Mytilus edulis: one gene and its partner. The protein of the gene in region 1 binds, or shares a complex with, the protein of each later gene. Links are inferred from orthologs where the notes say so. Each region holds a gene or a part of one and is shown on either strand. Other genes may lie near its edges. The genes, in order: dihydrolipoyl dehydrogenase, mitochondrial-like; lipoamide acyltransferase component of branched-chain alpha-keto acid dehydrogenase complex, mitochondrial-like.

Region 1 (15,879 bases):
AATTTGCACTATCATTTTCTATGTTCAGTGAACTGTAAAATTGGGGTCAAAACTCTAATTTGGCATTGAATTAGAAAGATCATATCATAGGGCACATGTATACTAAGTTTCAAGTTGATTGGTCTTCAACTTCATCAAAAACTACCTTGACCAAAAACTTTAACCTGAAGCGGGACAGAAGGACGGATGAACGAACAGACAGACGGACGAACGGACGAACGTACGCACAGACCAGAAAACATAATGCCCCTCTACTATCGTAGGTGGGGCATAAAAAGACAATTTTAAAATATTCATTCCCTTAATTTCTTTGACACATACATAGTAAATAAATAGAGAGTTATTTCAGCATAACTATAACATAAAAACTTGTTAAATTTGATTCTTTCTAACAAAAATACAAAATCTTGGAAAGTTTTATTTTACAGAAGTGTTCCATGATAATTTATTGTTATAATCACAGAATAATTTTGAAGAACAGTGTGAGCATGAAGGGAGAAACATGTAGATTACACTGTGGTTAAATTTTATTATATAATCTATAGGAAGTAACTTACAAATAGTTCTACTTTCTTCAGAGCCTTTTAACTGCATCTGCATCATCTCTAACTCAGATTTTTCCTAGTAAACAAGATCTTTATACATGTATTTACGAGATAATAATATTTACAATATATGTACTCTTAAAATTGAGATAAATCAAACTAAAATATAAAGTATAATCTGATTTATTTTATTTGCTTAAATATGCAAAAGGGATGAGACACAAGTTAATCGACCTGTTGGTGACCTTCTGCTGTTATCTGCTCTATGGTCGGGTTGTTGTCTCTTTGGCACACTCCCTATTTCCATTCTCAATTATTTTTTTTGTATAGTCTTCTCCCAAGCTGATCTAATCTGATGCCCAATGGAAATATGGTAGCATTCTTAGTTTGAAGTAAGTTTGTTAAGAAATATTTCATGGGGGCTTGAATATATCATGATTTACTATGGGTTTGCCCTTTAATAGGCTTGATGCAAAATATTTTACCCTGAGCGATAGCCTTTTATAGCAAACCATACGAAATGGGGTTTTCTAATCTAGGAAGACCTATTGGTTGCCTATTATTGCTTAAATCCACTTCATTTGAACTTATTTTCTATCTATATGCAATATTTGCCACTGGAAATTAAGCATTTAACTATCATAATCATCTATGCAGCCTGTCTAAGTTATTTATTGTATACATTTCACTGTAATAAAATTCATTAGATTATCTGTGTGTCCATCTACCAAGGGAGATAACTTACATCTTATGTTAATACCAAGGGAGATAAATTACATCTTCTGTTAATACCAAGGGAGATAAATTACATCTTCTGTTAATACCAAGGGAGATAACTTACATCTTCTGTTAATACCAAGGGAGATAACTTACACCTTTTGTTAATACCAAGGGAGATAACTCACATCTTCTGTTAAAGGTATTTTACCACTTCCACTGCCAGATCTTCCTTTCTGAAGTTCTATTTTTAGCTGCTCTGTGTATTTCTGACTGTCTCTCAATGAAAATTTTAGGTTTTCTATTTCTTGTCTGAGGGCAAAAACATCTCCATCTCTAGAAAATAAAGTAAAAAGTTCAATATTTGTGACTATTCAATGTAGAACTACAAGAAAATTCTAAAACAATTCTTAATAACAGGTGCACAACTTCAACATATTTACAATGTTCCTGTTCAGAGATCTAGATTGTAAACTGTAGGAGAAGAAAATTACACAAAATAAGTATATATCCTCTTTCTAAGCATGAGGCATTTATGAAGTGAAGATAATTAGATAGGTTAGCTTAGAGTCCAATAATATGTTAATGTAATCTTAATGTCTTCCTAAACTTGTGAGCTGACACATTCAAAATTCAATCTAGTCTATTGGTCTAGTACCATATCATTAAATCTTTATATGTTTTTATCTGAAAATATGCATGAAAAAATTGACATTATACGGCCATCAATATTCATCTTATCTCATAAAGCAGCATTTTACATTATTTCACAACATACTAGCCTGCTTAAAATCTATTTAACATCTAGCTGATGTTATTTTTTTTCTAGATCCGACTCAGACTGAAAGTAGCTTTAAACACCAATCAATCAATCATTATTTTTTCTAGTAAGCTCTATCACCCCTCATTGTCTTAACATCTTCCTACTAACCTGTTTTCTGATATATTATTAGCCTCCATGTCATGTGTTTCAAAATGAGATTGCAGTTCCTCTGGTGTGTTATAGGACTTCTTACACATTGGACATAGAAATCCTTCCTAAATTATAAAAAAAAAATTGTTTTCATTAATAATTTGGTTTAATATAAAACCTAACAAGGATTCAGAATTAAATCTGTTAAATTTTATCATTCATGGTACACAGTAAGGTACTTACAAAATGGTAACCACCTTAAGAGACAAGATAACAATTTCAATTCTATTTTCACTGTTCTTGATACACACTCATAGTTGAAATTTCACAGCAATTACCATGGATCCCATGTATGTTTTAATGGAACAGTCCTTAACAAATGTTTTTGAAACACCCAATAAAAAAAACTTTTTTATTTCAATTTGAATTTTGAAAATGTTTTCTCTCTCATAATGCAGAAGCTCATATTCATAAACTTGCAAGATAAATTAAAGATAAAGTTATTACTTTATTGCATTTGCTATTTCAGGGGGAAAGTAGGGATGTTGGAGTTGGAAGGCTTTATATCAAAACATCAGGATGGGTGTGGAGATTTAAAACAGTTTAAATAATAAATACACTTTGATTTTTTTACAAAAATGTATGAGTGGTAGGTTTCGAAAGTGTTTTCCAACCACACATCTGACCTATACTTTTTACCTGAATAACCCACAGTAAAGGAGAACTTTATAATAAAATCTACTTTGACCTACAATAGTTTACTTTTTACAAATTTTGTCTTGAATGGAGAGTTGTCTCGTTGGCACTCATACCTGATCTTTGACATTGTGTTTCTTATCAATAGAATAGAGAATGGAAATGAGCAAAGTTTATTGTATAAATAATTTGAATCTTACTAGATGCAAAATTTACACCCAATATTTTAGAAGGACACAGAAAATGTCAATGATACAAAATTAATTCTCTCGGAAATCTTTGACTTAACATTATGACTTTGTTTAACTATATCAATTTATTGTATATAACACCATTAATAAAAGAAAACAGGGTTCTAGATAAATTTTGGGTATGTCAATGAGGAATCGTTTCATTAAATAAATTCACATACTCCCTGAGGCTTGTTTTCGTCATGTTCAGCATCAAAATGATTCTGCAGGGCTTCAGCAGATTGCATGGATTTCATACACATAGGACATAGAAATCCCTGAAATATGAAGTAGTGCTCTAGGATAGATAAGGGAAGACAGGGATACAGTCTGATTAAAATCTGCATCCCAATGTCTCTTTGCTAATGATACAGAGAGAACTTATGGGGCAAATTTTAGTGAAACTGAACAACAAAAGTAACAAGGACAAACAAAATATTGAATAAATCAAATGTAGGTAGTGCAAGCTTGAAGGGCAAATTTTTGAAGCTCAGATAATGCAAGTTAAAAACTTGTAACAATTTTTATAAACTTATATGTCAAGACTCTTATAACAACAGAGTAGGCAGTAATTTAATTCATTCAAAGACATTGACATGTTTTGGATAAAAGCAATGCAGAAAATTATGCTCTAGAATGAAATCGGGAATCAATTATTTACATGTAACAATGTCACCATGCTGAGTTATTATAAAAAGAAACAGAGAGTAAACTTGAACAAGAAGTTAAAATAAAGTGTGTTTGCAATAGATGTTAAATTGTTGATTTAATTTCTTGTTTTCTGTTTTATTATCCTCTCCCCCCCCAAAAAAAAACCCAACCCCATCACCTATAACTTACCTGTGCCTCTTCTTCTGCATCATTCTGTCCTTGTTTTACAGGGGAGGACTTCGAAGAGTTGCTCTGTAAAAATAAAAACAATGCTGATAATTCTAAAATATTACACTACATATATGGGAAGCTATAAAGGAGAGTTTGAATTTTAAATTCACAATTTAAATTAACATTTCAATTATTTGAGTGCTTCTTCCTACAATAAGTTGAGATTCCCTGTTTGTACATTTTGTAAGACCAACTCTTTTTATCATTTGTAACTAAAAATTATCAGGTTCATCCATTCTACTGTTAGTAATTTGTTACCCAAATGATATACTGCAAAAAAATCATTTAAGAGTTTCAAAAATAAAATCCAAGTGATACTACATGTTTTGATTTGGCAGTTTGACAGAAAAACTGAAAAAGCTGTCAGATGCCAACATTTTACTTTTTCAATATAATACACTTCCTTTTATCGCAGTATGAAACATTTGCAATGGAACATTTTTTACAGAGGAGAACCTGTTTTTGTCTCTAAAAACAGCTCAGTTATGGAAAATAATATGCATGCACAGTTTGAATCTGCAATAGAAATATTGTAAACATGGTAAAGGTATGAGTTTATGAATATGTGCTCAATAAGATTTAAATGGTGAAATATACATTCTACCTTTCAAGGAAAAATCTGAAATATCTTCGACCAACAGTTTAAATTTGCATTAAAATGCTTCATTTTTCACCCACAATTGTATATAATGAGCATTTGTTTGTGTTAATTCTAAGTGTATTTCAAAAATGGTTGAATAATTGCTTAATTAGGCAGGCTACTTACTATGCAACACAGAGTCTAGTATACATGTATGCTGCTTCATGCAATAAAGTAATGAATAAGTATGGGGTACTGTGTTCATGCTAAACAACTGTGACAGTGAAATAAGAGGTTTCTGTAAAATCATTTTGGCAGAACTAACAATATCAATTATCATTACTGCAGATGTATTTCATTAGAAAAGAAGGTTGTTGGGTAAAAGGTATAGGATGTCTTCAGGCAAGATCAATTTTTTTTTTGTCATTTCAAGAATTTCTAAAGAATATAAAAAAATATGAATGCCTTTGTTTGCTGGTCAAGAAGTCCTCTTCTCATCAAGGAATAAAATCAAGAAAAAACATGGTATGTACAAGTTGATTTAGTTAAAATCCCCCTTTTTGATGTTAGTGAATCACTGTGAAAATGGAGATAATCTGATTGCTGGTAATCTGCTCAATCCTCACAAATTGGTACCAAAAGAAAACAACATGAATCATCTGACTATCTTAAATATATATACAGATCTTGTCAAGCACAATCATCAGCATTCACTGTGAATAATCTGATTTTTTTATTATGTCTGGAGAAATTTTCAAATGATCCCCTTGTGTAAACTGTACTTTTACAATGATATTTAGAAGCATATCCATCTTTACCAATAGAATCTTATGACTCATAAATTTGTAACATGGCAATTTTAATCTTATTTATTTCAACATTTTCAAAAAGTAATAGACTTGTAAGACTTATCTTAATGCTGCAATAATTAAACATTAAAACAACTGTTTAAAACCAGGGTTGGCAAAGTATTACCCGCCCGGGAAAACCCAGGCGGGAATTCCCGGGTTTTCCCGGGCTGGGCAATACTCCCAGAAATGGGTAATACTGGGTAATACTGGGCAATAAGACTTTTTAAGCTTATTTTAACACAAAATAGTAAAGTCTTGTTGTACATGTTGAAGTTTCATAGTATTATAGCTAAATATATACATTTTATACAGATAACCATTGAGAGTCATGTTTCTAGAAGATTGAAAATTCAATTTCATTCTTTTCTCCACTACTTCTATGAAGGAAGAAAACAGATTTGAATATTTTAGGATTATTAATACAATGTACCTTGTTAATTTCCATGTATTGTTTCAACTATCCAAACTTTAAAAAAACCCGTTTAAGCAGTGTTTATGTGAATTATAAATTTAAATGTATATGCAATCATATTGCTAAATAAACACCCTACAGGGTCAAGTCATTAACCCTTATAGAAATGAAAAGGCTGAATATTGTTATATAAACATATCAATGTCCTAATCTGAATAATTACTTATTAATTAGTGATGTAAATATAAATTATGCAAAAGTATTTTTTCTTACATTTTTTTGTTAATTCTTAATGTAAGATATATATACATTTGATAATGAGTTCTTTGAAGTTATGTTAACAGTTTGACCAATCGAGACAAGAGGGTGATTTAATAGACTTTCATAAGAGAATTATTGATAAAGGCCTTTTCCATTAATATCTGTGTAATGTGTGCCTACATGTTTACTTGTCTCATAGTTGCAAGAATAGTACTTTTTCAAATGTATATACACTTGTATTATCACTCTCAAACAAGTAAACTAATTTATAAATCAAAATGTGTTTATAAATATCTTAAATGTTTTGCAATTGAGTTTGATCACTGAATCCTCTTTAAAAAATTCAGGCCAGTATTTTATATTACCCAGTATTGCCCAGTATTACCCATTAAAACCCAGTAAAACCCGGGTTTTCCCAGTATTTCCCACTGGGCTGGACAATACTCATAAAACCCGGGTTTTTGCCAACCCTGTTTAAAACATATCAACTTTTAAATAAAAATACTTTGTCATCTGCAGATTCCAATAACAAACCGACCGTGCAAGAGCTGTACATGTATAGCCACTGAGCCAGTCAAGGTCGTTAATAACTTCCATTTTTCATTAACAAATTAGTCTCTTTTCAGAAATTGTTTAAAATTGTTTAGTACAGAAACACTTATTTGCACAATGTGAAAGACAAGGACAATGAAGGAAGGCAAGGAAGGATGAAAATTAATAAATAAATCACCTTGTTAGTATCAGCATTATCAACAACCTGCCCCTAGAGGATAAACAAAATAGAATAAATATGAATATATAAGCTAAATTATAAAGCATTGTTTACCAATTACCAAATGAATAGTTATGAAGTGAAACATGTCTAAATCAAATCCTGTATAAATTTGAAACCTGTCTGTCTAAAGTGAATTTTAGTAAAAGAACATACATTAATGATTATATATGTATTAGTGTTCTAATCTGTGAGAACAAAACACCTTTCTCATGTTTCTTATTGATGTACATGTAATACATTCAAAGTTGTCAGTCTATTATATTTTATGCTTTAGACAAACTTCATTGTTTTTTCATAATAATGATGACAGTTTTCACCAAGTTTCAGACTTTTTGAAAACTGAAATTCATTAAACAAATGTTTTTTTTCTCAAATTTTATCCAACACTTTAAAAACAATTAACAAACTGTGGATACAAAAATCAAGCTTGCATTTATGCATCCTTTTGGTGAATGAAAGAGTGTAAATTGTTGAAATATGGTTAAAGGGGGCAGGAGGGGGTCCTCATCCTGAAATCCCAGGGTTATAAACAAGAAATCCTGAGGTCTAGAATTTAAATAATTTTAAATCCTGCAATCCCGAAATTAGAAAAAAGAATTCCTGGATCACGAAAGAGTCGATCCAGTAATCCCAAGTTTAAAAACACCTGATCCCGAAGTCATGATAAAGGTCCTATCCCTCCTCTTAGGTGATACTGTGGATTCATTTATTTTCGATGGTATCAATTTTTGTGGATTGAGGGAAACTTGCATCTTCGTGAATATTTCATTTCATGGTTTAGTATAATCTCTGTATACAAATGAAATTGAGAATGTGTCAAAGCGACAACAACCCGACCATAGAGCAGTCAACAGTCGAAGGCTACCAATGGGTCTTCAATGTAGCAAGAAACTCCCGCACCCAGAGGCGTCCTTCAGCTGACCCCTTAAAATATGTATACTAGTTCAGTGATAATGGACGTCATTCTAAACTCTGAATCATACACAAGAGACTAAAATTAAAAATCATACAAGACTAACAAAGGCTAGAGGCTCCTGACTTGGGACAGGCACAAAATTGTGGCAGGGTAAAACATGTTTGTGAGATTTCAACCCTTCCCCTATACCTCTAGCCAATGTAGAAAAGTAAACGCATAACAATACACACATTAAAATTCAGTTCAATAGAAGCCAGAGTCCAAAGTCAGAAGATGTAACAAAGGTAATATTAAATTTGTAATTCGTTGAACATTTATGGTTCACCTGTACCCAAGAAAATTGGTATCCAACGAATAATAATGAATTCACAGTAGTTGAGTTTGGCATATTTATAAAATTTGCTAAAGATTTCATTTAAACATTTTCAAACTCCCCTGGTATTGCACACATTTATACAAGTATACCAGTATTGCAAGCACCAACTACAGGAGATCCATAATTTGATATAGTGAAGCATAAAATTAAATCTTTACATCACTTGGATTGTGGAAAAATTTATATTGTTGGAAAAAGAATCAACACAGGAGCCCTGTCAGAGAAGGCAAATGCCGAAATGGTAAATAGTTCCTATTTTGGACGTTTCTTTTCCTTTCTTGGTATTTGATAGCAGTTAATAACACATGAAAAATAGTTTGGTGTGGACATAGCAAGTTGGTTTTAATTTGTTAACCTTTTCGTCTTTTCTATTTAGCAACTTTCTGAACATTTTTATTCTCAGGTGTTGCAGATGACACGGGGAACGTCCCTTCCGGAAGTTGTCACCGGAAGTCGACTGTAGCGACACCTGTAGCCGGTGTACCTCAAGTTCAGAAGCAGACCACATTCAGCAAAATATGCTTTCTACCTTCTCACAAAAGTCGTTGCCTTTCTTAAAGGTAAACACATACAGTAATGTTATCTTTGTAATACCAGTCATCGATAAAGATATCACCAGACTGGCCAATAACACTCATTATCCTAGCTAGGACATTGTTTTTTTATTATTTTTATTTTTATGCAATACACATGTATGATAAATGTCATAATGTTATACAGTATAGCGATTTCGGTTGAATCAAGGTGACTTTCATTCAGCAAGAGACATATTCAAAAGCAAATATTTGTAACGCACATAGATAATTATCTTGCCTATATACATCATATAGATTCATGACCTTGACAGCTAGAATACACCATATATTTTATGCAATACTGCCAATAGTACAGATTATCAGATATATAGTCAAATCATATGATTTAGTGTGTAATATGAATTTGTACCTTTTGGTTTTTTTTCAATGGGAATGGTGAAATGTAACACACAATAAACATGGGTGAATGCATATATGTCAGATACTGTGTATATAATGTCTACGTTGTAATATCCTGCTTATAAACATGTGCATGGTTCTCTCTAAATCTTCAATTAAAAGTTCACTTGTTTCTTGTCAATTCTAAAGCTCTGTAATGGGGGTCTCATTGGAGGGTTCTGATCCCGGATCCCGCTTACTGTTTTGTCAGTTTCCGGTATCCAACTTATAATATACTATGACTAGGTACGTAATTTTCATTTTTTTTGTTATTTCCTGTGTCCCACTAGACTTCATTTCCTGTTTTCATGGCACAATAATTTGATTTTCACATGTCACGCTTACAATAAATCAGTAATCCCGTGTCATGCTTAGACCCCAATGAGACCCACTGTAATAACATGGTAATCATTACAGAATCTCAGAATATCAACAGCACAATCATGATCAGGGGTTTATTATAATACATTTGTAGGCCTTTATATGGCTGAAATAACTGTGAAGGGGCCTTAAGTCAAAGAAGTGAAAGGACAAATTCAAATAGAAAAGTTTTGATGTAATTCAAGATTTGAGTTATTTCCCTTGTCAGTCATTTTGGAAATGGCTGATTTTTTTACTTGACAAACCAAATACAACCAAGTCTGATATGGATCCATTATAGATTGTAGTGATGAATTAAGGAAGTTTAAGGTTAAAGTAAATTAGAATTGTTCAGAAAAAAACTTTTTGTAAAATGTATTTGTCAATTTAACCCTTTCACCGATTGCTGCCCAGACAGAAGCTACTCTGAGACGATGGCTTCCCTGGATACTATTGCTCAAGTGGGAGATCTTCATAAAAAATGTCAATAAAAACTTGTTTGTAGTTAATTGTGTATTTATTTCATTCACTAACACCATGTTCACAGTTTTATTCATGTTTTGATAATTTTTTCCTCATAAAATATTCAAATTTTCAAATTTTCGGCATTATCTAGGTGAAATTCTCAAAATTCTGCTCTTTGACCCCAAATCGTAATTTTTTAACCCAAAACGGCAAACTTTTGAAAAATTTTATGAGGCTGTACAAATTCCTCACACTGAACGATGTCCATTCCAAGTGTTTTGTACATAAAACGACATTTTATGTCAAAAAAGTATACTAGTTTGGCTTCAATTCTTTCAAAAAAAATGTTCCCTCATTTCAAATTCTCGTAAATTCCGTAAATTTCGTCTGATTTTGACACGGTTTTCAACAAACGGAAGCGCCATGTTTATACTTTCATACGGGTATTCATCAAAGAAAGATAACTCATGTTTGCACTGTTTTAAGCGGGAAACATAAAAGATGTATTCCGATCCCGGTAAAACGGGACTCATCGTCAGTTGTCTGAAGCGTGAATCCCGGTAAACCGGGACTCATCGGCGAAAGGGTTAACAAGTTGAATTTTGCTGATTTATGAAGGTTTTTGTGCACATAGACCTTCAACATGGTGATGAAAATGAAGTATAAACTCTTTCTCAAATTGTAACAAATTAAACCTATCTATCATTCTATCGTTAATGGACCTAGATCTATAGCCATCCATTTTCATGATTTAAGGGCATCAATATTCACCTTTCTTATTTGGCTTCATAAAAATGATATTATCACATTAATAAATCAAGTACTGTGAAAGTACTTTTATTCGAGGGGAACTAATTTTCGTGGATGACTTTATCCACATATTTAAATGTCCAACAAAATAAATAACCGTTGTCCAAATCACGACATCGAAAGATCCACCAGTATGTTTGACTACTGATATGATGTACATGTAGAGAATATATTAAGTATTGCCAAATCTGAGAATACTTTAACAGTAGTCACAAGGCAAACGCTTCATGAACAACAATGTCAATTGCAGACAGTATTATACCTATTTCATCTTTAAAAACCTAAACTGTACAACTTTTGATCTTTATTTCTCATCAAAAAATATTTTGATCGAAGAAAGTCGGATTTCTGGTATTGATATGCTATGATAAAGTGTTCATTTTATATCCTCGTAATTCTCGTCGGTATGGGAAATAATAATTTCATGCTGGGCTTGCTTTTGATAAGAATTGTTTTACAATTCAAGATACGTTAATAACATTTGTTGATGTAACTGTTTTCTATAAGGTGACATGTGGATGGCTTAATTAACACTTTTAATGGTCTTTAATCTGTTGATCACTCTATCTCGGGTTAATTAGTATGAACACTTCGATTTACACAGGTCAATGTTTACTTTAATCCAGATAATTTGTAACCTTCGTTTCTAATGGCTTCAATTTTTTCATTTTTGATTGTTTTGAGAATATACTCAAATCCATGAGTTTAAAACCCCACGAACATGTGAATGTTGCTCTTACCACGAAAATTGATACAAACGAATTAAAGTACTTTCACAGTATCAAAATATTCTATTTTCAAATGCTACCATAAGATATTGATCTCTATAATTACTTTTAATCACACAATATTTACTTATTTTTTGGGGGACAGTATGGAAAGACATACATAATTATATGTCATTATAATTATTACAGTTACACTGAAAGTCATGGTCAATATTCAATAAATTGAACAAAAATCACCAATAGCTTTAAAGGATTTTTGTACATGTATAATAAACTATTTTTATATAATAAATATAAAATATCACTGAACTAGTACATATTTGTTTAGGGGCCAATTGAAGGACGCCTCCGGGTGCGGGAATTTCTCGCTACATTAAAGACCTGATGGTGACCTTCTGCTGTTGTTTTTTCTATAGGCCGGTTGGTGTCTCTTTGACACATTCCCCATTTCCATTCTCAATTTTATTATAATAAAAAAAAAAAATATAGGTTATCCATCCATGACACAAAATCAGTTCATGCACTTCCAAAAGCTTTTACACATTAAAAGCAAAGGAACATTGCTTTTATTGCTATTTTTCATCTCAAAGTGACAGTGATAATATATATATATATGTTTACCTTCATTTGATTGTATAATGTAAATTTTAATTTTTTTCCCAGTATGTGTATAACTAATGTATTGTGGCACTAAAATATAAAAATTAACTTTAGGGATCATCAAGTAAAGTTGTGAGATGTCTGATTGTATCACAGAACAGATCTTATGCCAGTGAAGGTAATGTACAGTAGATATGCAATAGTAAGATCTGTAGACATCTTGGTTTTGTTTACGAAATATAAAATCAATAAAATGGTAAGGGCTTCAAACACAGTAACTCATTTCACTAAAAATCTTGTGAGAAAAATAGTGAGTCATGGGACACATACACATGTACTATATGAATTATGTCAGACTTAGTTTTGTCATAAGATGTTTTTGTGAAAGGAGCCCCAGATTTACATTCATTGGAAAAAATGATGTTTATAGACTTTGCAAGTTGCAGTGCACATTCAGTTAATAACTGCACTTGTCAGTTAATTTTTAGTATGCAGTTTTAACATGCCTGCTGACTTTTCACTATTCATGACTTGATAGATAAGAACAGCAGCACATGTAGCCAAAACTGAGAGTTGTCGACTTGTGCCATCAAAGTATATATGTAATTGATTAAATATAAAATAAGAACTGAAATATCGTGCTTAATTACTTTAAAGCCAGGCAAATAAAAACAGATCTATTGATGATGACCAGCCAGTGCACTCTGTTATGATTTCTTTAACCAGTATTTTAAAGATATATATATATAACACTAAACAGCTGGTTATATTTAGTGTAAAATTTCTGTATAGTTAATAGTTTCCCTTTTCACCAAACATGAGCTGTCTCCCATTTGTTAAAATTGCAGCTTTTATTTTGACATGCACTGCATTGTTCATAAAAGAAAATCATGCAGCTCTTGGTTTTTTTTGGTTGGTGGAATGTAATATATTTTAGGGTTATTGTATGAATATTGGGGAATATTGTCCTGAGTAGAATTTTATATTGCATGAGCTTGCCAGTGCAATATATGTTCTACGATGGACAATATTCCCCATTATTCATGCAATAACCCTTTTATTGTATAGCAATATAATATTTGAAAGTAAAAATTGGTTTAAACTAAGATTTTGTAGTTGAAGACATCATGAATTTTTGAAGATTTATTGCACTAGTGCAATATTAGAATTTATTGCACGCCAACTTTTGGTTACTTTCTGTGGGAAATAGTAAATTGCTATGCAATAAAATTGAATACTGTAAATTCAGGACTTATTGCATGCATTTATAATTGTGTTTTTAAGGGAATGGATAAAAATGCAAGATTAACTTTTGTAATTTCAGAACAATCTACATAAATGAATAAAACAGTTGTGCCTTATACGTTGTATATGTTCCCTAAACATATATTTATTTTCATATATTTCAGCTGATAATGACTTAGTTGTGATTGGGTCTGGACCTGGAGGTTATGTTGCTGCCATTAAAGCTGCACAGCTGGGCCTTAAAGTAAGCAAGGTTTACAAAACAAATTTGTTTATTTGAAAACACATTTTTGTCAGAAACAGGTGCTATCTCATTTTCCAAATAATAAGTATGAATGCTATACTTTCAAATTGAGGACAAATTTACCAAACTTTATTAAGACTTGCTTTCTATATATCATGTATATTGTAAGTATTTTGAATTTGAAGAAAAGTCTTTATTACAAACTATATATGAATTTAAAAGGCAATGTGGGGTAATTAACACCAAGAAAACAGCAACACAACAAAACAGGAAACCCCAAAATAAATTTATTAATTTGACAGCGACTAATAATCAAAGAGTTGCCACCATTTATAATACCAAATTTCCTAAAGAATGTTCTGTTATGTATGCTTAATTCTTATGAATTTTTTTTTTTATCTTAGACAGTATGTGTGGAGAAAAATGAGACATTAGGAGGAACTTGTCTGAATGTTGGGTGTATACCATCAAAAGCATTACTCAACAACTCACATTTATATTATATGGCTGCTGGTAAAGATCTCAAAACTAGAGGCATTGAATGTAAGTTGTGAACATATAATTAGTGATTCAGAAGATTTTATTTTTATATTTACATAAGTCATTTAAGTATAAAAATAAGGAGATGTGGTATGATTGCCAGTGAGACAACTTTCCACCATAGTTCAAATGAAATGAATTTAAGCAATTATAGGCAACTGTACAGCCTTCAACGATGAGAATATTGAAATAATAACAATGAAGTCCAACAATAATTTGGTCTTTTCTGTACCAAACCTTCTGCATTTAAAAGACTAACATGTTGGTTTTTTTTTTAAATAATAGAGTATTGAGAGATAAACTTAATATAACTGCTAAGCAGGACTAAATTTTGGTTTCTTGATAGCATATAAAGATAGTTTGATATGAAACAAAGTAAAATAAATGAAAAATATTTCATGAAAGTTGCTAAAGCATGTCAAAAATTATTTTATGAAACAATTTATAGTATATTTTTTAGATTTTAACTTTTAAGTATAAATTTTGTAAAAGTAACCATATTATACAGTGTTTTCCAAAGATATTTCATATAGCATCCTAGTAAAAAGGGGAATTTAAAATACCATCTTGTTTCTAAAAGTTATAGCATCACAATCTATAAGAAAATCAATTCAGATATCATCACATTTAAGATTATAGCATCACATTATTATGATGCTGAAAGGCCCTGGGGAGAACACTGATATATATCCAGAAGAATATTTTTTTTCTAAATTCAACACGAATGTTTGTCTCCTACTTTTCCATGACACTTTTTACAATTTTTATCCTCTTTCATTATATAAACACTAAATTAAAGGATCAAATGATAATTCATTCTGATATTCTAATAATAAGAATTTTCACATATGAAAATAAGTCAATCAAAAAATTAAATAGATTATTTATATGCATTGAGTCTGATTAGTTTCGGATTTCTTTTCAAACTTGTACGATTGTTATTTTTCAAATGTGCAGAATTATTTTTAATTATAGTTGAAAGTGTCAAGTTGAATCTTGATCAAATGATGGGACAAAAAACAAAAGCAGTAAAAGCCCTGACAGGAGGAATAGCACATCTCTTTAAACAAAATAAGGTAATGTCTATTGTAAAATAAGTACAGGTATATTATAACATTTCAAAATAATGAAAATGTAGATTTACATATATGTTTTTTTTAAATCTTAGAAAATTCATAAATAGTTATAGTAGACTCTCATTAATCCTAACTAAGTTGTCTACAACTCTTAGATGAGTTAAATTTTGACTGTGGTACCAATGTTTTTTGCATATTCATCAGTATTTGTGTCATGAATTGATATGCTGTGTCCCTTTTTTCAGTAGGATTTTAGTGGTGCTAGGGTGAAATGTATTTACCAAAAACATAAATTTGATGTTTATATCTCCATTAAAAAAATGTCAAAGTACTACCTCAGTGAACTTTGGTTATTAATCACAGTGTTTTTTTTTAATGACACTTTATACCTATATAGCTAAGACAGCATTTTATTCATTAATTTACAGTTAGTATTGTGATGAGCTGTCTACATTTTGTTCTAGATTTATGCAATTGACAGTGATGATTGATGGCAATGAAGATCTTTCTCTCTTATGTTATATTATTCTTGAGTTGTGTCCCTTTGATAATTCATGGCAAAATTCAAAGAGCTCAGACTTTTCTATGATCACAACAACCTCAAGATTATTATTAAATTCAAATTTATTGGCAGGGTGATATTTCTTTTCTTTAAGGGACCACATCAAAAGATCAATGTAGGA
Region 2 (16,119 bases), about 30 Mb from region 1:
AAGGAGGGGTATTTGCAAAAAATACCAGTCGAGAAAATGGTAAATTTCAAGAGCCGCAAGGCGAGGGGAATTCATTATCAAGACTGGAATTTTTCGCGATAATTTTCCATATACCCCATTGAAAAGTATATGTGACTGATAAATAAGATATGAGAATTTGCAGTCATATTAGTGAACATGAATTTGACAGCTAGTGCCCCAATAACAATAATATTGCCTTGTCTCTTTTCAGCTACAAACCCATTAGATGTAGTTAAAATTCGAATGCAGTTAGAAAATGAACTAACTCGACAAAAAGGACTGGACGTTTATAGGAATAGGTATTATGAGGGTGTCATCAAAGGAGGAATTCAAATTTTCAAAGATGAAGGATTCCGAGGTTTATATAAAGGGTAAGTCAATAACAATACGTTGGGGATTGTCAATGAGCTTTAACAAAAAAATGTTTTTTTATTACACATGTAAAACGTGTTTATATTTAAGACGATTTCCAGTACACTCTTGCCCTAGAAATAGTTATGCTGTATGGAATAATGTAGTAAAGAGAAGACATCGTATAATTGTTTGAGATAACAATTTGTTTGTTTTTATATTGCAAAGTTTACCTACTGTTGAGAAAGGACGTTCAATGACGTCGTTAAACAAACAAACTAATATTAACACGTACAATACTTTCTAAGTAGGTATGGGTTGGGTTGAGAAAACTCTTCATCTTCATATTTCCATTTTAGAAAAATATACATTTAAAAAACTTGCTTTTCATTAAAGTTGCAATCTTGGTCACATGTTCAGAAAAGGTACGTCAACTTTGCAAATCATTAAAAACTCACAGTACACATACCGGCATATATGAATCTGCGATACCGAACATTACGGTTTTAAGCAAACATAGAAACCACTTAAAAAATACCTGATGGGAAATAAGTATACCCTAAAACTATAAGATCTATAAGTTCTGCATGAATGTTCAGAACTAACCTTTTCACAAATACAATGTTATGCATCAAATATAATGAATATAGTATTCAAACAACTACTCAATTAATGATGTAACTTATAGAACAAAAACATACATTTTACAGTTTGTTGCCGTCTGTGATGAGAGAAGCTCTCTATAGTGGAATTCGTTTAGGTGCATATGAACCAATCAAAGTTCTACTTGGAGCAAAAGATAAAGCACACACGCCTTTGTGGAAGAAGATTTGCGCGGGTGCAGTTTCAGGTACATATTTTTGCCGCCCCTTTCCATACATTATTTTTTTCAGGATATCAAATGGACTTGCTTTTTAGCTAACGCTTGCTTAATATTAAAAATGATCAAAATTAATGTAAAGTATATAATTGTCATACGATAACTACTTTCGAAATTCGAAAATTAAGAGAGATTTTAATGTATAATGTAGCAAAATTTACTTAATACATGCAGCATGTTGGACCGATATTACACAATTTATATTTTGTTTAAACAAAAATGAAATCGTAAATGTTACTTTCTGAAAATAGTGTGATGTGAAAGCTTCACAATAGAAGAAATTAAGGCGTCATTATAATGATATTTTAAATGGCTCCGCTGTAGCAGGCATTACATCCTTGTCCGTCTGTACGTCCAACATTGTATTTGCATTCTCTAACTTTAGCTTGATTCAACTAAATGTTACGAAACTTCTGTACAATCCTTATTACCACAAAACACAGATCAAGTGTGAGTTTTGTAGGCATCACTTTTACCGTTTTACAGTTATATCCCTTACAAATGAAAAAAAATGCAGAGAAATTGCTTAATTTTTCTTTGTTGTTCTTTAAAGGACCAACGGACTTAAATTGGTAAATGCGTATGTTATATTAATTATAAGCTTTGGATTTTACATATTTTGGCCACGAGCATCACTGAAGAGATATGTATTGTCGAAATGAGCATCTGGTGCAGAAACATTGGTACCGTTAATGTTATTATAATGTTTTGATTTTTACATTTATTTTGTCTTGCCTTCTCAAATGCAGGTATGAAATTACATGTGCAATCACACCCGTTGTTAATCCTCTTTGTCATGTTTGTCAGTATTACATGTTCTTTTCTTGAAACAGGTGTGATAGGCAGTTCTATAGCAACCCCCACGGATCTTGTTAAAGTTAGGATGCAGGCATGCACTCATGGACATTTAGCGGGGGACAAAACACCCCGTTATAAAAATACATATTCAGCTTTTGCAGAAATAATTAGGAAGGAAGGAGTAAAAGGATTATATGTAGGTGTTGGACCAACTGTAAAAAGGGCGGCAATTCTTACGGCAACGCAGGTATGATGATTAAATAGATTATGATATGGTGCTTTTCAAAAACGTTCCTAGATTAACTTTTATCATAATGAAACAATTTTCATTAATGCGGGGTTCACACATTGCCAGTTATTGCTCCCGTTTGAGGTCAGACAGCAATAAGATAAGATAAGATATGTTTATTCCAATGAACGGGCCCATGAAGAGTAAAGCAATATGACACGAAAGCAGAGCAATACGACACGAAAAGTGAAAAAGTCGGATTAGTATCCTCAATTATCTGGAATGTCCTATCATTGTCTGAACGCAGTCGTTTTAGTTCGTAACAGATTCCTACGGGTCGGGAAGGGTCCGAATAGTTCGGCAAAGCACCCCGACAGTTAGGTGCGTCCCGTAACATTCGGGGCAACTCAGCCGATTTTGTCTAGTCGGATTACAATCGTGGCTATGTCGTGACAGATTCTGCTGTATCGGATCGAATTCCGAACAATGTTTTGTGTATTCTGGACGGTGTCCTGTGCAACGGAAAAGATCTGGAGTATTTTTTCATAGCTGTTTTTCTGCCGATTGAGTCAAGATTGCATCCAGATCTTGTCGATTGCGAACCGTTTTTTGCCGAAACCGTTCCGAAACAGTCCCGTTATGAATACGAAATTCGTCAATGATACTCACGTCAGAGTCCCGACAATTACAGAATACAATAAGACTGAGACCAGACAAAGCCGTTTGCAATGCGATAGAGCGGACCGTGATAGGATTACGTTCCGACAGTACCTGATCATCCCGAATATGCCGACAGTTTTCGAACGGATAACTTCCGTCAGCGTCGGTTCACTGTCTGGTCACTGCCTGATCTCTGTCGTATTACATTCGGTAGAGTCGGGACGCTGTGGTGACAGACTCGGTCGAATTTTACCTGGCGAAAAATACGAATCGGATTAGAAGCGGATTTAGAACGGGATTATCGGGACATATTCGCTTGGAAACGGTTGAATATCGACGCTTCCTGAACACTATCTGATTGTTGTTGTGATCAAATTATTTTTTTTTACCAATTTTAATTAAAGTTTGAATTTCCATCCACGATTCACAGGATCTTGATCAGACTTTTAACAAATTTTAATCGGGAATGGTCCTGTCAAGGACGGTAGTAAAAATCGTGAATGTGTGACCCCAGCTTAATAGATCGTCCTTGAATGATTTGTACATTTTAGATGAAAGCTTGCAGGCGATAATTTTGTAGTTCGTGTAATGATTGATACATATATGCACGAAGCAATAAGCAAAACAAAAAATAAATAAATTAAAGTTAGTCCAATGTCATTTCAACTAATGAATTCATCATGTTCTCCAATAGGGAAACTATATAGTATCAATCAGTACCAGCCTACGGATCTTGTGTGCAGACGTCATAAACTGTTTGATAAAATCATGAAGTTTTAATGTCTCGTGTAAAATTCTTACAAGAAATAAACAAATGCAGGATATATTAGTGGGAGAAAAGACACTCAAAACAGAGTTATGCTACTACCAACTGCTAGTTCACTGCTTTTCATGTTTTTTTCTCTCTCTCCATATATAGATCCCAAGCTATGACCATACTAAACACACGATACTAAACTTGAAATGGATGGACGAAGGGCCACTATTACATATTATATCATCTATGGTAGCTGGTTTCATGGCTGCACTTACAACCTCGCCAGTAGATGTCGTCAAAACCAGAATCATGAACCAGAAATATGAACGTAAGAAGCACTATTTACTTTCCGAGTTGTTTGATTATCTATAGTATATTTTATAATTCCCATGACACTTCATTACATGGCATTAAAGTATAAATTTACGTACCGGGGTACTTGTAATATAGTATGTATACATACTTCCGTTGTTCCAAATATAAGAGTTACATGTCCATAAGGCATTTTTTCTTTATGTTTGTCGGTTATTTATTCTTTATATCTATATATATATATATATGTTGTGATGATGTTTAGTTTATTGTCACAAACAATTATAAATATTGCACAATGTGTTAAAGTATTCCTTAAAAACTTAATGATTTCTTTTGTTTCAAAATTGATTTACCGAACATGGATGTTTAACACTGAATGCAAAAACTTTATTTAGATTCGGTGTTGTTAGTAAGCTCTAGAGAGAATTTAACTGGATACATACAAACATATGCAACAGCATAGAAAAATATTCATGCAATAAAACCTAAAATTAAGGAATAACAGTACTGTAGTTGAAGAGTTGCCACTGTCAATTGCAGATTTGACGGTCGCGAATGCAGTTTTACTGGCGACGCGTAGCGGAGACAGTGAAAACGGAGATTTGCGACCGTCAAGTCAAAATTGACGGTGGCAACTCTTCAACTACAGTACTGTTATTCCGATTCTGATGCATTACAATAAGAAAAGAACAGTAAGCACTGCACAAACATGGCAAAGCAAGTTATACATTTTATGATTATTCCCGTTTCCGCGTAATCATTTGATAGCTAGTCCGAGATTACTCTGACGTCCATCGGCTGTTTTGCCAAACAAACAGTCCGAGATAACAAACAGTGTGAGATTACTCTGACTTCCAACGGCTGTTTTGCCAGACAAGCTCCGAGATTACACTAACGTACAACGGCTGTTTTGCCAGACAAGCTGCCCCAGCCTGTCTGTCAAAACAGCCATTGGACGTAAGAGTAATCTCGGACTATGGATAACATGATCATTGTGATATCACAAATAAATAAATAAGTAACAAAATAAAATGGGTATTCCACACATTATCTATATTAAAAAGAAAGTTGTGTGGTCAATGTGGAATTTTAGGTATTTGTTATGTTTTTCAGATCACCACGAGAAGGTTTATAAGGGGACGTTTGATTGTTTGATGAAGATTGTCAAAACAGAAGGATTTTTAGGACTTTATAAAGGGTTTATACCGAACTGGATGAGAATTGGTCCTCATACTGTTATATCATTCTTTATATTTGAACAGTTAAGACGATCTGTTGGGATGGATCCTGTTTGATGTAAAAAAGGACTAGGATTGTTTTGTAATTTAGTGTTTTTAAAACGATTCTCAGGGAATACATACACGGATTAGAAGACGGATCAAAATAAGCACTTTGTTGCTTGACGGATTAGTATAATCACGAGTTGCTTGTGTCTCAGTGAATCCTTATTGTGAATGTGTTTATAATTATACTTGTTTATGATTATTCATCATGAAATATTGTTTACAACAACACATATACGTGTAATCCAGACATTTTTATTCATATACATATAAATGGTGTTTTTTATACAGTTATATTTTAAGAAATTTATTTATGTACGGAATGTGTATAACAGAGAGAGCAGGTGCAAGCTGATATTTAAGTTTTGTATGTGCAATAAAAAGTAATTATAGTTTGGCTCTTGTACTTTTAAACCTTTACAAGAATGCAGACGGAGGAGAAGGTTCAATGACTTATAAGAAATAGAACGAACCAAAAATTGTATTTGGAACATTGTTGTTGTCATGGTGAAGTTCGGGGATCTTTTTTAATTTTTTAAAGTAAATATATTTAGAAAATCAATAACCTCGATGGGGAGGGGATGGTACTAAGCTCTTTGGTTCTATATGGAAAAGATTTCCTTCTGGTTTTTTTTTTCAAATTGTTTCTTATGCTGTGTCTAAAGGTCTCTCTAGATATGTTTGCAAATTGGACAACTATCGATTAAAAGATCAAGGGACAAGGATGTATAAAGTGCAATTCACCGCACCACACAATGAAAAACAAGTGAAATTGATGCCATCAACTACAATTCACTGTACAGCACAATGATATATACAATGGACACGGATGCCATCAACTTCAATTCACCTTACAACACAATGAAAAACAAGAGACAAGGATGTAATCAACTACAATTCACTGTACAACACAATGAAAAACAAGGGACAAGGATGTAATCAACTACAATTCACCGTAAAACACTATACAGAACAAGGGACAATGATGTCATTAACTATACAATTCACCGTACAACACTATGCAAAACAAGGGACAATGATGTCATCAACTACCGTGAATTCACCGTACAACACTGTACAAAACAAGGGACAATGATGTCATCAACTACAATTCACCGTACAACACTATACAAAACAAGGGACAATGATGTCATCAACTACTATTCACGTACAACACTATACAAAACAAGGGACAAAGATGTAATCAACTACAATTCATCGTACAACACAATGAAAAACAAGGGACAAGGATGTAATCAGTTACTATTCACCGTACAACACTATACAAAACAAGGGACAATTGAGAGTTATCTCGTTGGCACTCACACCACATCTTCCTATATCTATTTAAAAATGTGAAAAAAACTATTTTCAGTCCTGAAATGGTTTGGAAGGCTGTTCCATAAAGTAGCAGCAGCAAATTTGAAAGTTTTTTTTTACCGTAACGGGTTGGCTTTACCTACGGAATTTCCAGAATATTTACATACCTGAAATAAAATTGAGAATGGAAATGTGTCAAAGAGACAACAACCCGATCATATCTGTCTGCTATGCAGACAACAGCCGTCGTCACCAATGGGTATTCAATGCAGCGAGAAAAGAATACTTTTAAATTTCTTTGACACTCACCAAATTGTGTAAGCACACAGGAGCCATATTGTTTATAATCTTAAAAGTTTCTAGAGCCATTGTTCTTATCCGTCTGATCTGCACGGAGGGCACCTTAGCCTCAGTAAGTTAGAAGACCTCATAGGAGCTGGTAAAATCCTCATATACGAAACGAAGTGCTCTTTCCTGCACCTTTTCTAGTTTTTTGGAATTTCTCTCAGTGTAAAAATGCCATACCAAAGGGAAAAAATCAAATTACTTAGAATAAAAGTATGAAAAATAATAAGTTTACTAAGTCTAACCAAAACTAAGCCTTAACGTTTAAAAACATTTAATTGCCTTGATGCCCTTCTACAGATTGAGCTGACATGAACATCAAAATTTAACTGATGGTCAATTTCAATGCCTAATAATTTTACTGTTTTTCACATGTATGTAAGGTTCGAAATTTGAATATGTATAGATGGTCAAAGGTCAAAGGTCTTTTTGCCAACAGCCAAAACTTGAAACTTGTCGGGATTTGCTTGCATTTTAATTACCCGGAACCACTCAATAAGTATTTTGACTCAGATTCCAAAGTTGAAATTAATAAATCAGAATCTGGAGTACAGATTACCATCTGCATAGTGATGTAAACTACCATTTTTAACAAAAAGAAAAATATAATTTATAAATATGTTAAACAACAATAGCCCTAGTAAAGAACCCTGTGACACGCCTTTATGGATATTAGCACAACCACTCAGAACAGTGTTGACTTTAATTTGCTGTTTACGATTATCAATTACCAACCCAGGCTTCATATGTGGCTTCGTATGCAGATCATATACACACACGGAAATTTATAAAAATATTTTTTAAAGCCCGACTCTTTTTTCCAAAATCATATATGATCAAATAATTGGAGAATTTTACACTCAAAAACTGAAAAAATATTACGCGATATCGGATACAAATTTATTGCTAAAGGAAAGCTATAGGAAGGGATATTTAAATTCACAAGTCAAAAGCAAATAACAATACCATGACAAAAAAAGAAAGGACGAAATCAAAAGACAAACAAAAGTACACACATCTCAGCATAAAAAATAAAGACATAACACTGAATCAAAAACCTTGATCTATATTAGAAATACCCCTTTAAAAATTCAATTCCTTCTTGTAATCAAATTAAAATTGCCAGAACAATCTCATCATGACGGCATTGAGATACAAACTATGTCTCTGATTTTATTGGGTGAAGGAAAGACAAATATAAACTACGTGTGTTGTTTTGGGGAGCAGTACATCTAAGGAATCAACAATTCGACGTCCAGGTGGTGGAGGGCAAGTGTTATGTTTGCGTTTTTCAATTTCTCTAAATATTCCGAGCCCCACTTTGACGGGAAAAAATAATGTGGTGAAGCATGCAGATGACAACACATTTGAACATGAATTCAGTATTCTGAATGCAAATCAGAAACCCCCATACTTCATAGTATAACATTTTGAAAGAAAAAAAATCTGATTGATTGCGTTGAAAACTAAATAAAATTGTTTATACTTTGCGCAAGAAGAAAAATCTGACTAAGAAGAACAAATGTAACCCACTCCCCCCTTTTATTTTTAGTTAAATGGTTGTTCCCTAATGGGAAATGAATCTGATAGCCAATATCAAGGACGTGAGTTGGTTAAGTCCAAAAAGTTGTTTCGTATTTGCAAGAGCCCATTAAATAAAGAAAATTAATAAATAAATTGAATTATTTTTAATGGGAAAAAGTTGGGGTGTGTGTCCCAGTCAACCAATCACAAAACACTATTTCAACACACAGAATAGTAGTTTATCTTAATCCGTGTAAATTCTACGATTAGACAGCAATTGAAGTTGAAATATATTACCTATTAAAAAAAGAAGATAATCAATATTGCTCGGGGGCAGCAATAATCATGTATAGATTTTTTAGAATCTAAAGGAAAAGGATTTGCAGATACTGTTATCGGGATCGATAAAAATTTTAGTTTTATCTCAACCTGGGTTCCTGCCGATGGCATCCTTCTGTCTGTTTGCAAACATCTAAAGAACCAGTTTAAGATGGCATCGACGGCCTTGCGAAGGTTGAAATGGGAAAAGTTTAGGTTTCTTAATAATGTACGAATTTATCAATCCCTAAAAACAATTGCAGTCAATCAAAATTATCGGTAGATGTTAAATATTGTAAAATAATATGTTGTTATTATTGCAATGACTAAATACACACACTTTAAAAGACGGTTATTCGATCCAGGATCCATGTAAATTCAGTTTGTGTTTCGTGTGTGCTTCATTCACTTCTTTTTTTTAAGAAGGGAATCTAGTTTATCCAAAATAATAGTTCGTAGATTTTCTAAATAATTACAGACTGATTGCTACACTCCCCCTAGTTTTTAGTGAAATTAAAGCTTGAACTAAACACTGGAAATTATGCTTGAGGTAACAAGAGGTTTCGGCCTTGGTCTGTTCACAGGAGTTTGAAATACTAGCAATAAAGGTGTATAAATATGCCAAACTCGACCAGTGTTCTAACTACAGAGTTTGAACAGGGCGCAGCGCATGCCCTTTTTTATTGACGCAATGCCTTTTTTCTGTCGTTCCTCTGGCGCCCTTCCGTTTTTATCACAGAAAATTGGCATTTTCTGCCTTTAAAATATCGGTAAAATCGTAATTGTTTCATGAACAAATGATATAAATTTACGCGTAAATTGCCTTTTTTTCAATGACATTCATGCGCAAAATTGCCCTTTTTCTGACTAGCACCCTGCCCTTTTCAAATCTTGGCTAGAACACTGTCGACGATCTGTATCACAGCAGAGTTTCTCTTAAAGACAGAATTTAGTAATAAAATTGAGAAAGGAAATGGGGAATGTATCAAAGCGACAACAACCTGACCATAGAGAAGACTTCCGTAGGCCACCAATGGTTCTTCAATGTAGCAAGAAACTCCCGCACCCGTAGGTGTCCTAAGACTATAACAACTTTAGCATTGAGAATTTTCTTAGACAAAAACAAATGATAAAAAGATATACATGTACATGTACTGTGGTACAGGTAGTAATCATGGTTATTGTACACATACATGTGAACCTCCCGACGGGAGTACAATAATCCCGTTTTCAGTGGTCTCCTCCCGTCCTCCCGTTTAGGAGAAAAAACTCCCGTGTATGAAATATTTCATGAATGAAAATTTTCATCCGCCGTATTTGATAAATTCTTACTACCGTACGGGTGCAATTGACACCTGTGTTAAATTTTACCTGTAAATCAAAGAAGATGTATAATTATATGGCTTCACTTGACAGCTTGGGTGTCAAACCTACTGGTAATCAACGATGTTTACCTCTGCTAACTGCCGTTGTTTAATAAAAACTTTGTGTATTCGAAATAATTGAAATACATTTTTATTACTTCCCTTTGAATTATCCTGTTTTAAGTTATTTTGCTTTTAAAAACGTAAAATGTAAAAAGACTATAAATGAATGATATTTTAATCAAATACTCATAAAAGGATGGTATTTAAATGAATTTAAATGTGTTGGGACTTAAAAAAAAAGGCTGATTAAAAATCCTAGTTAGTTTTATGCCTATTAGAACCTTGGGATCAGAATTGTTTATGTCATTATATATAAAATTTAATGAATTAGCTAAAGATAAAAAAAAAAACTTACACTGTTTGAGCAAGGATTTGTATAATAAGAAGGATTGGAATCTCGTGGACTTTTGCATAGACTGTAGTATAATGTCTTACTATACAAATCCTTGGTTTGAGTCAAAGTTTTCTAGAAATTATATGACTTTCATAATGCTTTTAAAAAAACCATGCAGTACTATTGTTAGTGTATAGCATATTTCTTTCTTATTTGTCTATACAGTTACCAATGATGAGGAGATGGAAATATAAATCTATACAGATAAGATAAATAAATTAAAATATAATGATTTATTTGCAAGCAGTGAACAATCAATTATCAAAAACAAAACAAATTCTTCTTAATATTTTATTTTCATTCAAATAGAAAGGCAATAAAGGTACTATAAACATATTACAATTTGATGGAAATTTGAAGAAAAAACACAATTTCTACATCATACAGTTACATTTACGACAAAATTTATGTCGATAAAAAACCTCCTGATCTGAGTCCTAATCTCCTGACCAAAATTTCCAAATCTCCTGATCTGAGTTTCACAGTCCATCACATGTATGTCGGTACATGTACTGTGGTACAGGTAGTAATCATGGTTATTGTACATTGTTATAAGGAACAGTTCAGAAAAAAACTGATTAATATAAATGTATGCACTGAAAAATTTCTTTACATTATTTTGCAGTTATCTAAAAGAAAGAACAATTGCAATCAACATCATACAAGGACAATTTGTCAAAGAAAAACAAATCAGTATATTTGTCACAGTCCGCTAGTATGCTGTAGGACTTTTCATTCGTCTCCAGGTAGGTACAAAATGTACATGGACATACCATACATTGAAATAAGTTCCTTAACCTAAGTTACCTTATGAAAAATAATAACATCTTTTTTTTTTGTTCTTTAGAAGAAATTAAATATTTTCTAAAGTCTTCTCTTATTTATTTATTATTATTACCAAATGAACACATTCAAATTACTTGGCCTCTTCATTTGACAACTGGCAATTGCTGCTTTTGTCTAAAATTGAGAATGAAAACAGGGAGCATGTCAAAGAGACAACAACCCAATTAATGAGCCGAGAATAGTATTTCAAGAAACTTCTGCTTATCAATGTCATTACAGCTTCTAATTATTTATATTTTACAGTTTGTCATGAGTTAGTACAGTTTAAACTTGCTGATATAGGTGAAGGCATAAGGGAAGTTCAGCTGAAAGAATGGTATGTTATCAAACTTATCAAATAGTGGAACTTTATATCTATGATATGTGTTTAGTTTTTATTCAACTACAAAGTTAAATATTGGGATATAAGGATTGTTCATCCATGGATCTGTTCAGGCATGTCAATCTTTTCAGGTTTGAGATTTATGACAACTAGCTGCCTTTTGATTTAGATGATTTTCAGTATAGTCATTCCCATGAATTACTTTAAAAACATGTCATACTACAATTTCATGCCTCACCTATGACAGTTGAGGGGATTATGTTTTCTGGTCTTTTCGACAAGTTTTCGTCTGTTCGTTTGTTAGTCCTTCCGCTTCAGTTCAAGTTTTTGGTCAAGCCACCAGGTACATTTTGATGATGTTGAAATCCAATCAACTTTAAACTTTGTACACATGTTCCGTATTATATTCTCTTTCTAATGATAATGCCAAATTAGGTGTTTGACCCCAATTTCATGGTCCACTGAACATAGAAAATGATCATGCAAGTTGGGCATCCATGTACTATGGACACATTCTTGTTAACTTATATGTGTAGTTAACGTTCTAAAAGACATATCATAATCAATCTTATATTTGGCAAAGCATGATTATTTCCAAAAACTTGGCGTGTGATATTGGAAATCATACAAAATACAATATGATGTAGTTCTTCACCTTTAAATATCTTTTTGATAGATAAAGTTTTGGAGATTTTAACAAATACAAACAAAATGGAATGGAACTTGATGGATTCATTTCTTACTTTTTACCGAGTGCTATTTAGCATATTTCTTATTTTGTGATTGATTAATTTTTTGGTTTAATCATATCAAACACCAATTTGACCCTTGCTTTAAAAAGTTGTCAGTATAGAGTCTTAATATAATTTATATTAGACTTTTTAGAATGGAATGAAGCTTGAGTCTTATGATAACTTACTGTGTTCTCCCCAGATTATTTTCATTTAGCATCTTGGTAAAAAAGGAAATATGAAATACCATCATGTTTCTAAAAATTATAGCATCACATCCATAACACAATCTATAAGAAAATAAATTCAGATAGCATCACATTCAGAAATATAGCATCACATTACCATGATGCTAAAAGGTCCTGGGGAGAACACTGATCTTATGAAGTTGTTCATTTATAAGTTTGGTGCTAATTAGATCAGAAGAACGGTTGGAGAACTTTATTTTTATTTGAATTGTAGGTTTGTAAAAGTTGGAGATCATGTGAGTCAGTTTGACAGTATCTGTGAAGTACAAAGTGATAAAGCTACAGTGACAATCACCAGTCGATATAAAGGAATAATCTCTAAACTCTACTATGATGTGGATGATATTGCCTTAGTTAGTAAACCATTGGTAGATATTGAAACAGATGCTGATTCACCTGGTATGTCAACCTTGATTTCCTTTTGGCTTTATTGCCAGATACTTATGCTTCATGTTGAATCTGGATCTGCTGTATAATGGCCTATATATAAACTGTCTTCAGTAAGGTTTTGAACACATTTGTACACACTGGATGAACAACCTTTCACTATACATGTATATCTAGTAAAATTATGAAAAAAGTCATGCAATTTTCACCCCAAAAAAATAACATCACTGTTGGATGAGTACTTACTTCATGCGGTCTCATAAAAAAATTATTGAAATAAGCTGTATTTGTGACAGTCCAGTAAGACCACTGCAAAATGATCATTACAGTAGAAGGTAATACTACAAGAAATGTTATATTTAAAAGCCAGATGTTCACTTTAGTTAAATTTGAGCCATCTGCCTTCTGCAATTGCACAGTAATTTAAATGCAATACTATTTTGATCAATGCAATGTTATCTAATTTAGGTACAACTCAGAGTAGTCCATCATCTTCAGAAGTATCAAGCTCTTCATCAGATGATGAACATTCTATGCAGAGGATACGTGGACAGAAGGTTTTGGCAACACCTGCAGTTCGAAGACTTGCCATGGAGAATAAGGTAAATTATGGTAAAGATAAAGTATGATTGGTTGATTGATTGTTTGGTTAATGTCCTAGCGACAGATTACTTTCGTGCATATTCTGGACAAGAATACAGTACCAATAATCTAATACTGTAAATACAGAAATGATTGGGATGTTTATTATTGCAAAAATGTAACAGGGTTATAATCGCAATAATTTAAACGCATTTTGAATTTTTATGCCCCATTTATAAACAGTATGTTTTCTGGTCTGTGCGTCCCTTGTTCGTTCATCCCTCTGTCTCGCTTCAGGTTAAAGTTTTTGGTCAGGAAGATTTTGATGAAGTTGAAGTCCAATCAACTTGAAACTTAGTACACATGTTCCCTATTTTATGATCTTTCTAATTTTAATGCAAAATTTGAGTTTTTACCCCATTTTTATGCTCCACTGAACATAGAAAATTATAGTGCAGATGGGGCATCCGTTTACTAGGGACACATTATTGTTTTAATCTAAAATGATAAAATCACAATAATTTCGGAATGTGCAGTAGATAGGTTTTAACAATGAGGGTTGACAACAACAAATGGTGGGACTACCACTGGAAAAAGAGGGTATGTAAGGTAGGACACAAGTTTTGTCTTCAAATATACCACACTAGGAACCCTTTATGAACTGTTGTAAAGGTTCTTTCTTGTGTAGAGAATGCAGAATTTTTCCTACATAAGGCATCTGGTTAAACATTAAAAACTGAAAATTGGCTGCATCTCTATATTATGCACAGCCAAAAAGATACCCCTTATTAGCATATTTTTTTGTGCAGTCAGTGTAGAATGGTTTGTCTGTGTATTTAGTTAGATCTGAAACATCAAAATATTAGATACTGAACAGGCCCTTTAACTCTTAAAGAAATAAATTTATTTGTAATACGTCATGTTATACCGGTATACTATCTAGTGAATCCCTTTATAATAGAAAGTATGCCTTATTTTGTAGATCAAGTTAAGTGATGTTGAAGCAACCGGAAAAGATGGTAGAATATTGAAAGATGATATCCTAAAATACATGGAGGACCCTTCTGTTGGAAAACAAGGCATGATTTTAGTATTGATCAACTTATTTCAGAGCCACCACTGTGGTCTTGTTTAAGCATGGAGGTTAGGGGTTTAAATTTCTGTCTGGATTTATTATGTTGCAATTAGTAAAAACAAAATAGTTAGCTCAGACAGGAGTCAGAATGTATCTGGCTTTCTATTTTTACAATCATATGACATAGCCTGATAATTTTTTGCTTAATTTGGTAGTCTGTTTCAACGTTCTAGACCAAAAAACATGGGGAAATCAATATAAATGAGAGAGGAGAAAGATACCAAAAGGATATTCAAACTCACAAGTTAAAAACAAACTGACATGAATGAAATGGCAAAAAAATAATAAAAAACGCGACAAAAAACACAAACAACAGTATACAAAACACAACACAGAAAACTAAGGACTGAGCACAAGAACCCTCCAAAATCAGTGGCACCATTTCATGTAGTTTCCCAAATTTGTTTTGATAGTAATTTTCATTGTTAGAGTGACTTTTCTTAAGTACTTTACTACTTTTTTCATTGTTATGTCTACGTATAATACATGTATAATAGCCTTCTTGTGTTTTAAGCTGTTAACCTTTTTACTGATGGTCTGCCTTTGATGGCTAAACCAAAATATTTGTTTATTAAAAGTTTTTGTCTTCAGTGTTCCCAATTGATTGGTAATAAAATAAAATTTATATTTTTAGCCAAATCCAAAGCTCCATTAGCTACACCTCCAGCAGTCAGTGTTGAACCCTCCAAACCTGCTCCAGTTGTATCAACCACACCTATACAACCACGAATCACTTTACCTGTAGGTAAGGATCACACAGAGAAGATCAAGGGAATGAGGAAAGCTATGGTGAAAACAATGACAGAGGCTAATAACATTCCAACATTTGGATATGATGATGAAATTGATATGAGTGCACTTGTTGAATTGAGGTCAAAAGTCAAAGCTATAACTGATGAAAAAGGTGTCAAGTTTTCGTACATGCCAATTATAATGAAGGTAAGTAGTGTATTGTGTCAAACTTTTCTTGTTCATCAAAGGAAAATTTTAATTTATGTATGTTTATTTTTATGTAACCTTTTCATAAAAATTGCAAATTCAAACCAAAATAAAAGATGGTGATATTAGAAAAAAAATCTTGGAGAAGTCAATTGACAGATTATTTGTAGCCCAACCAATGAAACATATTTCTTAAATCTTGAGTTAAAGAAAATATGAGTTATATACTGACATTTTGTTTGTTGTACACAAAAGTTACACTTTAAAGTCTTTACAAATTATGTACATAATTTATTTCTGTTTTCAG

What was found.
Region 2: the proteins of dihydrolipoyl dehydrogenase, mitochondrial-like (region 1) and lipoamide acyltransferase component of branched-chain alpha-keto acid dehydrogenase complex, mitochondrial-like are in contact, whole or in part, in a crystal structure (PDB 3RNM), measured with the Homo sapiens proteins. The link is inferred for Mytilus edulis from reciprocal best matches to the Homo sapiens genes DLD and DBT. Residues at the interface, in NP_000099.2 of Homo sapiens: Ser446, Thr447, Asp448, Arg449, Glu472, Tyr473, Gly474, Ser476, Glu478, Asp479, Arg482; in NP_001909.4 of Homo sapiens: Thr174, Pro175, Ala176, Lys196, Arg199, Leu201, Lys202, Glu203, Leu206.

The regions. Positions count from the first base shown.
Region 1 is NC_092344.1:47,452,184-47,468,062, forward strand, and holds the start of dihydrolipoyl dehydrogenase, mitochondrial-like, read left to right. Parts: upstream 1-8,581; 5' UTR 8,582-8,672; coding exon 8,673-8,714; intron 8,715-12,205; coding exon 12,206-12,269; intron 12,270-13,500; coding exon 13,501-13,580; intron 13,581-13,984; coding exon 13,985-14,123; intron 14,124-15,095; coding exon 15,096-15,196; intron 15,197-15,879. Other genes in the region: early endosome antigen 1-like, read right to left, coding at 558-621, 1,451-1,598, 2,194-2,300, 3,284-3,379, 3,942-4,004, 6,818-6,850, 8,510-8,545. UniProt on the Homo sapiens protein: Lipoamide dehydrogenase is a component of the glycine cleavage system as well as an E3 component of three alpha-ketoacid dehydrogenase complexes (pyruvate-, alpha-ketoglutarate-, and branched-chain amino acid-dehydrogenase complex).
Region 2 is NC_092344.1:17,370,820-17,386,938, reverse strand, and holds the start of lipoamide acyltransferase component of branched-chain alpha-keto acid dehydrogenase complex, mitochondrial-like, read left to right. Parts: upstream 1-8,901; 5' UTR 8,902-8,973; coding exon 8,974-9,030; intron 9,031-11,247; coding exon 11,248-11,368; intron 11,369-11,711; coding exon 11,712-11,784; intron 11,785-12,983; coding exon 12,984-13,168; intron 13,169-13,624; coding exon 13,625-13,758; intron 13,759-14,720; coding exon 14,721-14,817; intron 14,818-15,507; coding exon 15,508-15,812; intron 15,813-16,119. Other genes in the region: mitochondrial substrate carrier family protein ucpB-like, read left to right, coding at 233-392, 1,083-1,222, 2,086-2,297, 3,859-4,024, 5,125-5,306. UniProt on the Homo sapiens protein: The branched-chain alpha-keto dehydrogenase complex catalyzes the overall conversion of alpha-keto acids to acyl-CoA and CO(2).